Tribolium castaneum: one gene and its partner. Each later gene encodes a partner of the first gene's protein in a complex. Links are inferred from orthologs where the notes say so. Each region holds a gene or a part of one and is shown on either strand. Other genes may lie near its edges.

Region 1 (4,621 bases):
TGTTACATGTTAATATATTAGAAAAAAATTATTAAGATTTAAGCCAAAACTTACTGCTATGCCTTATACCTTTGATTTTAGTTGACTTTTTTCCTTTTTCGCTAATTGCTGCAGCTTCCCTGTTATCAGTAGCCATAGCCTCGTCAGTTCCATCAGAGCGTTCTTGTAATTGAGTTTTCAGAGTCTTTTTAATGTTACTAATCTACAAAAAAAATGCATATCTAAAACAAAGTAATGATACAAACTCGAAAAAAATACCTCTTGCTCCACTTCAGCTTTTCTCAACATTGATTTATTTTTTTCATTATTTGCTCTATGTATTTGTGTTTCAACACAAGCCAAAACACCTTCACAGGCCGAACACCAGTCTTGGAGACAATTCACAATTACATTAATGTCTTCAGGACGAATATCACGACCTATGGCATAATCAACCTCCAATTGACTATTTTTCTGGTCCAATTTTCCATGAATAATGTCAGCGTAAATCGCCTCAATTATTAAGTCCTCCAAATCACGAACATTTGTTATGCCTAGCTCTTCCAGAAGGGTGTTGTACGGAATACACTAAAAAAACATTGTTTTTATTATTACTTGCTCTAAGAAAAATCAATCAAATTTTGTTAAATTAGTAGATAGGCTGATTCTTTTAGAGCCTACATTAGAAACTTTAACTTCTAACATAGCTAGAGGTATGATTTGTTGAAAATGATGATTAAAAAATGATTATAAAACAGTTTTTCAAATGGAATTACCCAGTTTTTTAAATAGCAATCAAAAGAACATCAATTTTTATGCATACTTTTAATAACATCTTCTATATATCTATTTCTTACAGTATTTGAAATAATCGCAAAAAACAGAATTTTAGCTCATTATTTTCATTTTTAATCAAGTAAACTTTTGAAAAATACGATAAAATTGTACTGTTAACAAAAAGAAATGTCCTATTTATTTACCATTTTCATTCAAGAAGTTCAAGGATCAATGGCAAACTGACTGAGTTACTTTACATAATTCACTAACTTATAATAAACTATAATTAAATGTGATTATTTTACTGATTATTCGATAATGAAACAGCTAAAAACTAAATAAAAAATTGAAGTTTGATAATTGTTGACCATTTTGCAAGGTATACTTGATTAACTATGAAAACTACCAAGTAAAATCCGTTTTTTGTGATTTTTTTCAAAAACTGTAAGAGATTGGTATAGGACGTATTGATAAAAGTCACCATAAATATCGATATTCTTTCCATTGCCGTTAAGAAAATAGAGTCGTTCTATTAAAAAAAAGTTGTAGAGAAAAATGCAATGCAACTTTTTTACAAAGTTAAAAAATAGTACAATTTTGAACTGAATAGTTTTTGTGCAAAAATGCTTGAAAATGACGTAAATTTGTCGATAGTTTAATTATTTTTGACAAAAAATAAAAAAAAATTGCAGACTTTTTAGAAGATTTATTATAAAGTACGGTAAAAATTTCTAGTTTTTGGATCAAAAAGAAGCTTAAAATGTTTTTAATTTTTTTGTTTTCACTTTCAAAAAAATCACTCGTATTAGATACTGATAAATTCATTGTAGTAACAAAAACCGAGCAGAAAAGTTTGATTATCGCTAGGCAAAAATGGTTAAAAAATCTTTTTTTAATTTTTTTATATTTGTTTTTTTTGTTAACTTGAACATGTAACATGGTACAAATTTATGTCCCTTTTATGAATTTTAGGAATATACTCGATTATCTTTAGATTGTTATAGTAGTCAAAACAATGTACTGGGTGGCCGTTTTTTCAGCTCCACCATGGGAATCTCAGTTATTATACGAGATACGAGGTGGTTAAAATTTGGGTTTTAATTTTTTTCGAGTGAAAACCAAAAGAACTAGACGTTTTTAACTAGAACGTTCTTTAGGTACATTTTTACAAGAAATCTAAATCTGTCGTCCCATTTTCCAAGGCGTTCTTGATGTCAGTGTTACAACACTAAATTTTGTTTTTTCTTATGGAAGCCATATTTGCTTTTTGTATTTTTGAAGTGTTTTCATTTCCGATTACATCTATGTATCACATGATATAATCGAATCTTAAATGCTCATCAAAATGGAGAAAAAAGCATTTTTACAAAGAGTGCTTTGGAAAGAACGCCAACAATTTTTTTGTTTTTAAACAAACTAGATTAAACAAAATCATTAAGAGCTGATGACATTTTTATGCCGAAACATTCGCAAATTGCAATAACTTGTATTTTTTTTAATAAAAAATGATAGCCAAAAGCTGCATTAACATGCTTTTTTTGGATACCATGTGCTAACTGCTATTAAAACCATTGATAAATTTTAATACAATAATGTGCTCCGCCATCTACACAACACTATCGAAACTATCGAGAACGAGGACTTTTTATTTGTAGGTCGTGTCGTTTCCTAATCTATAGTTATCCATATTAAAAACTTAATTTCACTAAAGTGGAATTACTTTAACTACCTTTGATTTGGTGGCCAACGTAACAATGGTTAAATGTTGAAGCTTTTTCTTCTGAGCTGGGCTTAATTCAATTAAATCCTTCTTATTTGCTAGATAATCCTTGTAGGTTCCGTAAGCAAACAAGTTGAGAGTGTTGTAGAAATTTTTCTGTGGTGTATTACTCAACTACAAAACACTTAGTTAATGTATAAATGTAAAAATATGTTTGATTACCTCTTCAATGTTTTGCATGTGAAGTAATTCACCAAAAACGTAAACACCGGGGGCTTCCAACACTTGCTTGATCAGTTCGGAACAAGCAGCCCCTTTTGTTGACTTTGACAATAAAACAAATTGTTCCAAGGCATTGCCAGGGAAAGGATTTTTTTCAATAACCATTTTTTTAGTTTTTATTAGTTAATTTGTTGTTTTTGAAGCACTTTTTAAACACAACAACCGATCAGCTGTCACACGCTGCTGTCAAATGTCAAAGAAACATAATTGCGCCTGCGCAGCTTTTGACATAAAGCGGTAAATTTAAATTTGTTTAAAATTTAACAACATTGATTAAAGAAAGTAAGAAATAGTAGAAAATAGATACAATAGTTTTAATTATATAATATTTTTAACCCGGCTATATTTATGTTTGTGTTTGCTGCAATCCGTTGCTAATTACATTGTAAAATTTGTTTGATCAATACTTAAATTACAAACAAAACAAACGTAACTTCGTCTTCGGCTACAATGTTTCGAAATGAGGTAATAAAATATTTATACTTTAGTTTATTTATACTTTGTATTATTAGTTACAAGATGATGGAGATTTGCGGACTGAAATTTTTCATCTGAAGAAAAATTTATCCAACATTAGCACCGAAAATCGTATGCTAAAGGTGAAAATACGCAAATTGCAGAATGAAATTATTAAAAAGGATAAACAAATTGATGCTATATTGGATCCAAAAAAGGTAAAAAACTCTATTAAAAGTTTCAAGTTTTTAAACAATTTTAGTGTTTCGCTTTCTTTCGGAGAATTTGTTCTTTTATTTCTTTTAAGTTTTTCACAAAACATCATTGACACTATTTGTTTGTAATTTTATCCTTATATGACAATAAATAAATGATTTTCTTAGTAATTGAAGGTAAAACAATTAAATTTAGCTGTTATTATTAGGTTTATGTATAAAAAGTTTTGCTAAAATTACAACAAATTGGCGTCTATAAAACTTGTACAAATTTATTCAAATAAGTATAGTCAAATAAGGCAACAAATAAATCATACCGATAAATTAAATAGTAAATAAAAACCGAGCTTTAAAATTTAACCATCCTTAGGTAAGAAATGTCAAAGATTCCTTATTTTTATTTTTTTAATTCTCGGAGCCAAAAAAAACAGTTATATTAAATATACTAATAAATTAATTGAAGTAACAAAAGCCCAGCTTAAAAATTGTAAAAAATTCCACATAATTATTTTTTACTTTTGTTTTAATTTTGCTGTCTTACAGATAACTAATTGTGGTTATAAAAAACGAACGTTAAAATTATTTTTTTTTGGCAATAATTGTTAAAAATTCTTATTTAATTTTTTATTTTGATTTTCTTTTTAATTTTCGGTATCTAAAAAAGACGATCAATTGGAACAAAAACTAAGCTTAAAAAAGTATAATTATATAAGATATAAAAACTGTTAAGAATTCTTTATTTTTATTCTTTCTTTTTTATTTTTAGGATCAAAAAAGATAAGTCTTACTAATAAATTAATTGTAGTAATAAAATCACACTTAAAAATTTTATTGTCTTAAGGAAAGAAGTTTTAAAAATTTCTATTTTTATTTTACTTATTTTTTTTTCGTCAAAAAAATCTATTTTACTGATAAATTCATTGTAGTAACAAAAATACAATCGGAAAAATTTTATCATTTTCAGGCAACAATTGTTAAAAAAAAACATATTCATATGTATATGTATTTTTTTATTTTTGTTAAAAAAACAGTCTAACTCAAAAAGTAATTAGAGCAAAACCGAGCATAATAGTTTGATTGTCTTTGAACAAAAATTCCTTATTCTTATTTTTTATTTTTCTTTCTTTTTTAATTTTCAGTGTCAAAGAATAATCGATCTAACTCATAAATCAAAAGTATGATTATTATCTTT
Region 2 (3,570 bases), about 23 Mb from region 1:
TCACGCAATATTACAATGTAAGCATAACAATTATTAATTTAATTGTCACGATTTAGAGCCGTAAACTTTTACTGGAGAATAACCGGTTGGGAGTCAAAATTAATCTTGAAACTGTCACAGCTTAGAACATTATCCGCACTACAAAGAGCCTATACATCACGAAACTAGTTGGAAATACCGTTGAACCCACCAAAAACTCACCTAAATTGAAACAAAGCTGCATTCGCTGGAAATCCTTGCGGTTATTTTAAAATTCGCAGCAGGTGGTATCTGGACTCGTTTAAAAACCCGGTTTACGCGTAAAAAACCTGGTTATTTTTAATTCGGGGGTAAAATCCCCTAGTCTAAATTTAGTTCGAACGGGAGGAAAGGAATTCATCGTGTTTCAATACGCGAGTATGTGGCCTTGGATTTGAATTTTTTACAGGCGCGTATTACATTGCAAGAAGACAGATAATAAACAAATTGCGTTTGAAATAAGCGATAACCGAACAATGCAAGTGCACCACAATGGTCGTTCCGTTGGGGATTTTCGGCACAGACATGTGGGTGCCACACCGACACCCTGACTCACCCTCGGACCCCAAGTCACGAATTCGCCCCTAATTACGGGGGACGTGCACTAACAAAGAACGCGGCCTAGCAACAGCCCCCAGCCTCAAGCATGGCCCCAATTTTTGAATTCTGCGACAACCGGCGCGCATCCCTCGACTCTAACGTCCCAAATCGCGAAAACTACGACATTTTCGCCGGCATTTGTTAGCGGAAATCGCCCCCCGGACCCAAAAATATGCTATTTAATTGACCACTTGGCCCAAAACTCACCTTATCCTCCTAAAATCCTATTTAAAACGAGCACAAATTCTACAACACAACGTTACCACACTACTTATTACAAACTTTTCTTTAACTAAAACGCGCATAATCTCGAATCAAAATGGCGGGCGCCCCACCATTATGCACCGAATGCCGCCCGCTGATTGGTCGGTTTGATTTAAGACGCTTTAGAATTGCCAACTGCTAAAAAACCACCCTAATAAAACTGTCAGGGTGTGGTTGGACTTGTTTATGGGTTTTAAACGATGAGACTCCAATTATACTCCCATAACGTTACACCGAATTACGGCCGGGCTTTACGTTCGCAAAAACCAACACAAAGTCGTTTCGTGCAAATGGGAAAAAAACAAAAGAAAAACGCTAATGGGACGACATCTGCAGGACTGTTAACACACTTTGCGAACACCTGTCCCACCTTGAAAAACACAATTCGGTAAAAATAGCCCAATGAAGGCAATAACGGGCCACCAAATGCCAAGCCACTCGTAAAATAATTATTTTCTGTGACAAAACTCCTTGTCGGTTTGTGCCACAAACAATTTATCGATTTTTTTTCATTACCATTATGCATTGTCTCATTATTACAGCAATTAATACGTAAATCGTCCCATATCTAAAAAAAAAAATTAAAAAAGTGTCCTTCCAGTTTTTATATTTACGATTGGTAGCGCTGTAATTTGACATCTGTGTTTTGACAGGTCCGATTTTTTCGAATTTTTGCCCAAAATAGCCCAGAATTACGGTAAATCCTCGTCATTTTCGCAATAACTCTCCATTTGTGATTAGCTTTTGCCCCCTTTTGCCGCAATGTCGAAGCCGGGGACCTCCGAAACCCAGGAACAAATCGCACAAAAAACCTGGGAAATGGCCAATAAAGTCGAACTGGTGAACTCGGTCGACGATATTTACCGCTACGACAAGAAGCAGCAGCAAGACATCCTCGCCGCGAAGCCCTGGGAGAAAGAGTAGGCAAAAGTCGGCCCTAACCTCACTTTACCTAATCTCAATTTCCAGCCCTCACTTCTTCAAAGATATCAAAATCTCGGCCTTGGCCCTCTTGAAAATGGTCATGCACGCGCGTTCGGGGGGCACCCTGGAGGTCATGGGCCTGATTTTGGGCAAAGTCGACGGAAACACAATGTTTGTGATGGACTCGTTTGCGCTGCCTGTGGAAGGGACAGAGACCCGAGTCAACGCACAAGCTCAGGCTTACGAGTACATGAGTTCGTACATCGAGGCTGCGAAGCTGGTGGGCCGCCAGGAGAACGCGATAGGCTGGTACCACAGCCACCCGGGATACGGGTGCTGGTTGTCTGGGATTGACGTTGGCACCCAGATGCTCAACCAGAATTTCCAGGAACCGTTCGTTGCCATTGTGATTGATCCTGTGAGAACCATTTCCGCGGGGAAGGTGTGTCTAGGGGCGTTCAGGACGTACCCGAAAGGGTACAAACCAGCAAATGAGGAACCGTCAGAGTACCAGACCATTCCTCTGAACAAAATCGAGGATTTTGGGGTGCATTGCAAACAATATTATTCGCTTGAAGTGTCGTATTTTAAATCGTCACTTGATAGGCGATTGCTTGATTCCTTGTGGAACAAATATTGGGTCAATACTTTGAGCTCGTCTAGTTTGTTAACGAATGCTGATTACACAACTGGGCAAATTTTTGATTTGTCGGAGAAGTTGGAACAGTCGGAAGCGGCCATTGGGCGCGGGGGGTTCATCGTAGGCGGCACTGATCCGCACGAAAAACGAACAGAAGACAAACTGTTGAAAGCTACAAAGGACAGTTGCAAGACTACGATTGAGATTATTCACGGACTGATGGCCCAAATGATCAAAGACCGGCTTTTTAACAGCACTTCCTTGAATAATTCGACCCATTAACGCGTTTTAATCTGTCTGATTTGTTTGGATTTAATAAATATTTATTTATAATCTAATTGGTGTGTTATTGGTTACCTAGTCCTAAAAAACTACGGATATCTAAAGGTTAGGATACGAAACGTCGTACAAATAAAACGTTCCCTTCCAAAGCAATGGATTTGAAAAAATTGTATTCGTATATCGGTTAACACAGCAAAAAAATACAGGCAAATGGAGCATTAAATTCTCAATAGTAAGACATAAACATAATGAAAAAAAAATACCGTAAACTACATTTAAAAAAATTTCAATCTTTGCCAATTAGCACTCTATCCCATATTTTTCAAAACGCTGGGAATACGATCAGCTTTTCTCAGTCTGTTCAGAGTGCAAAACTCAACATTCCTGCATTTTTTTTTTCAAGTAATTAGTGAATAATTGAATGAATTTAAATTAATTTAAAACGACTTGGCGCCGGTATAACGCTCGAAGTGCCCACATTTTTGCTTCACTTTTTGGGTCCAGAAAATCCCACGATTCTGCATCTCGTTCCGTCTCCTAAGTCATAGTCCTCCGTAGCAAAAACCCAACCGGATGCATTTATATTCCAGTGCAAACATTATGCAAACGATAATTGCGTCAAACACAAATTCTAGAATCAATCCTTTAAAAATAAAGATTTGTTGACACGTCGGAAGTACCAAACAAATTCTTGTTTTTCTAAGCCAGTTTCAAGGATAAGTGGTGCAGGGCAAATATTTTCCTCAAATATTTGCCTTTAATCTCCATATGCGATTCTGTTGACAAGTGAACGTGTTAAACCAATTAAAAACAGGCGGATTTGTTGGAGTTATGTTGTTCCG

What was found.
Region 2: CSN7 (region 1) and CSN5 share a complex: the UniProt entries of both Drosophila melanogaster proteins name them as parts of the CSN complex. The link is inferred for Tribolium castaneum from reciprocal best matches to the Drosophila melanogaster genes CSN7 and CSN5.

The regions. Positions count from the first base shown.
Region 1 is NC_087395.1:497,370-501,990, reverse strand, and holds the start of CSN7 (COP9 signalosome complex subunit 7b), read right to left. Parts: upstream 2,961-4,621; 5' UTR 2,864-2,960; coding exon 2,699-2,863; intron 2,651-2,698; coding exon 2,486-2,650; intron 568-2,485; coding exon 259-567; intron 203-258; coding exon 32-202; 3' UTR 1-31. Other genes in the region: IQ domain-containing protein E-like, read left to right, coding at 3,209-3,223, 3,271-3,432. UniProt on the Drosophila melanogaster protein: Component of the COP9 signalosome complex (CSN), a complex involved in various cellular and developmental processes.
Region 2 is NC_087395.1:23,654,322-23,657,891, reverse strand, and holds CSN5 (COP9 signalosome complex subunit 5), read left to right. Parts: upstream 1-1,258; 5' UTR 1,259-1,579; exon of another isoform or gene 1,580-1,623; 5' UTR 1,624-1,644; coding exon 1,645-1,802; intron 1,803-1,851; coding exon 1,852-2,728; 3' UTR 2,729-2,784; downstream 2,785-3,570. UniProt on the Drosophila melanogaster protein: Probable protease subunit of the COP9 signalosome complex (CSN), a complex involved in various cellular and developmental processes.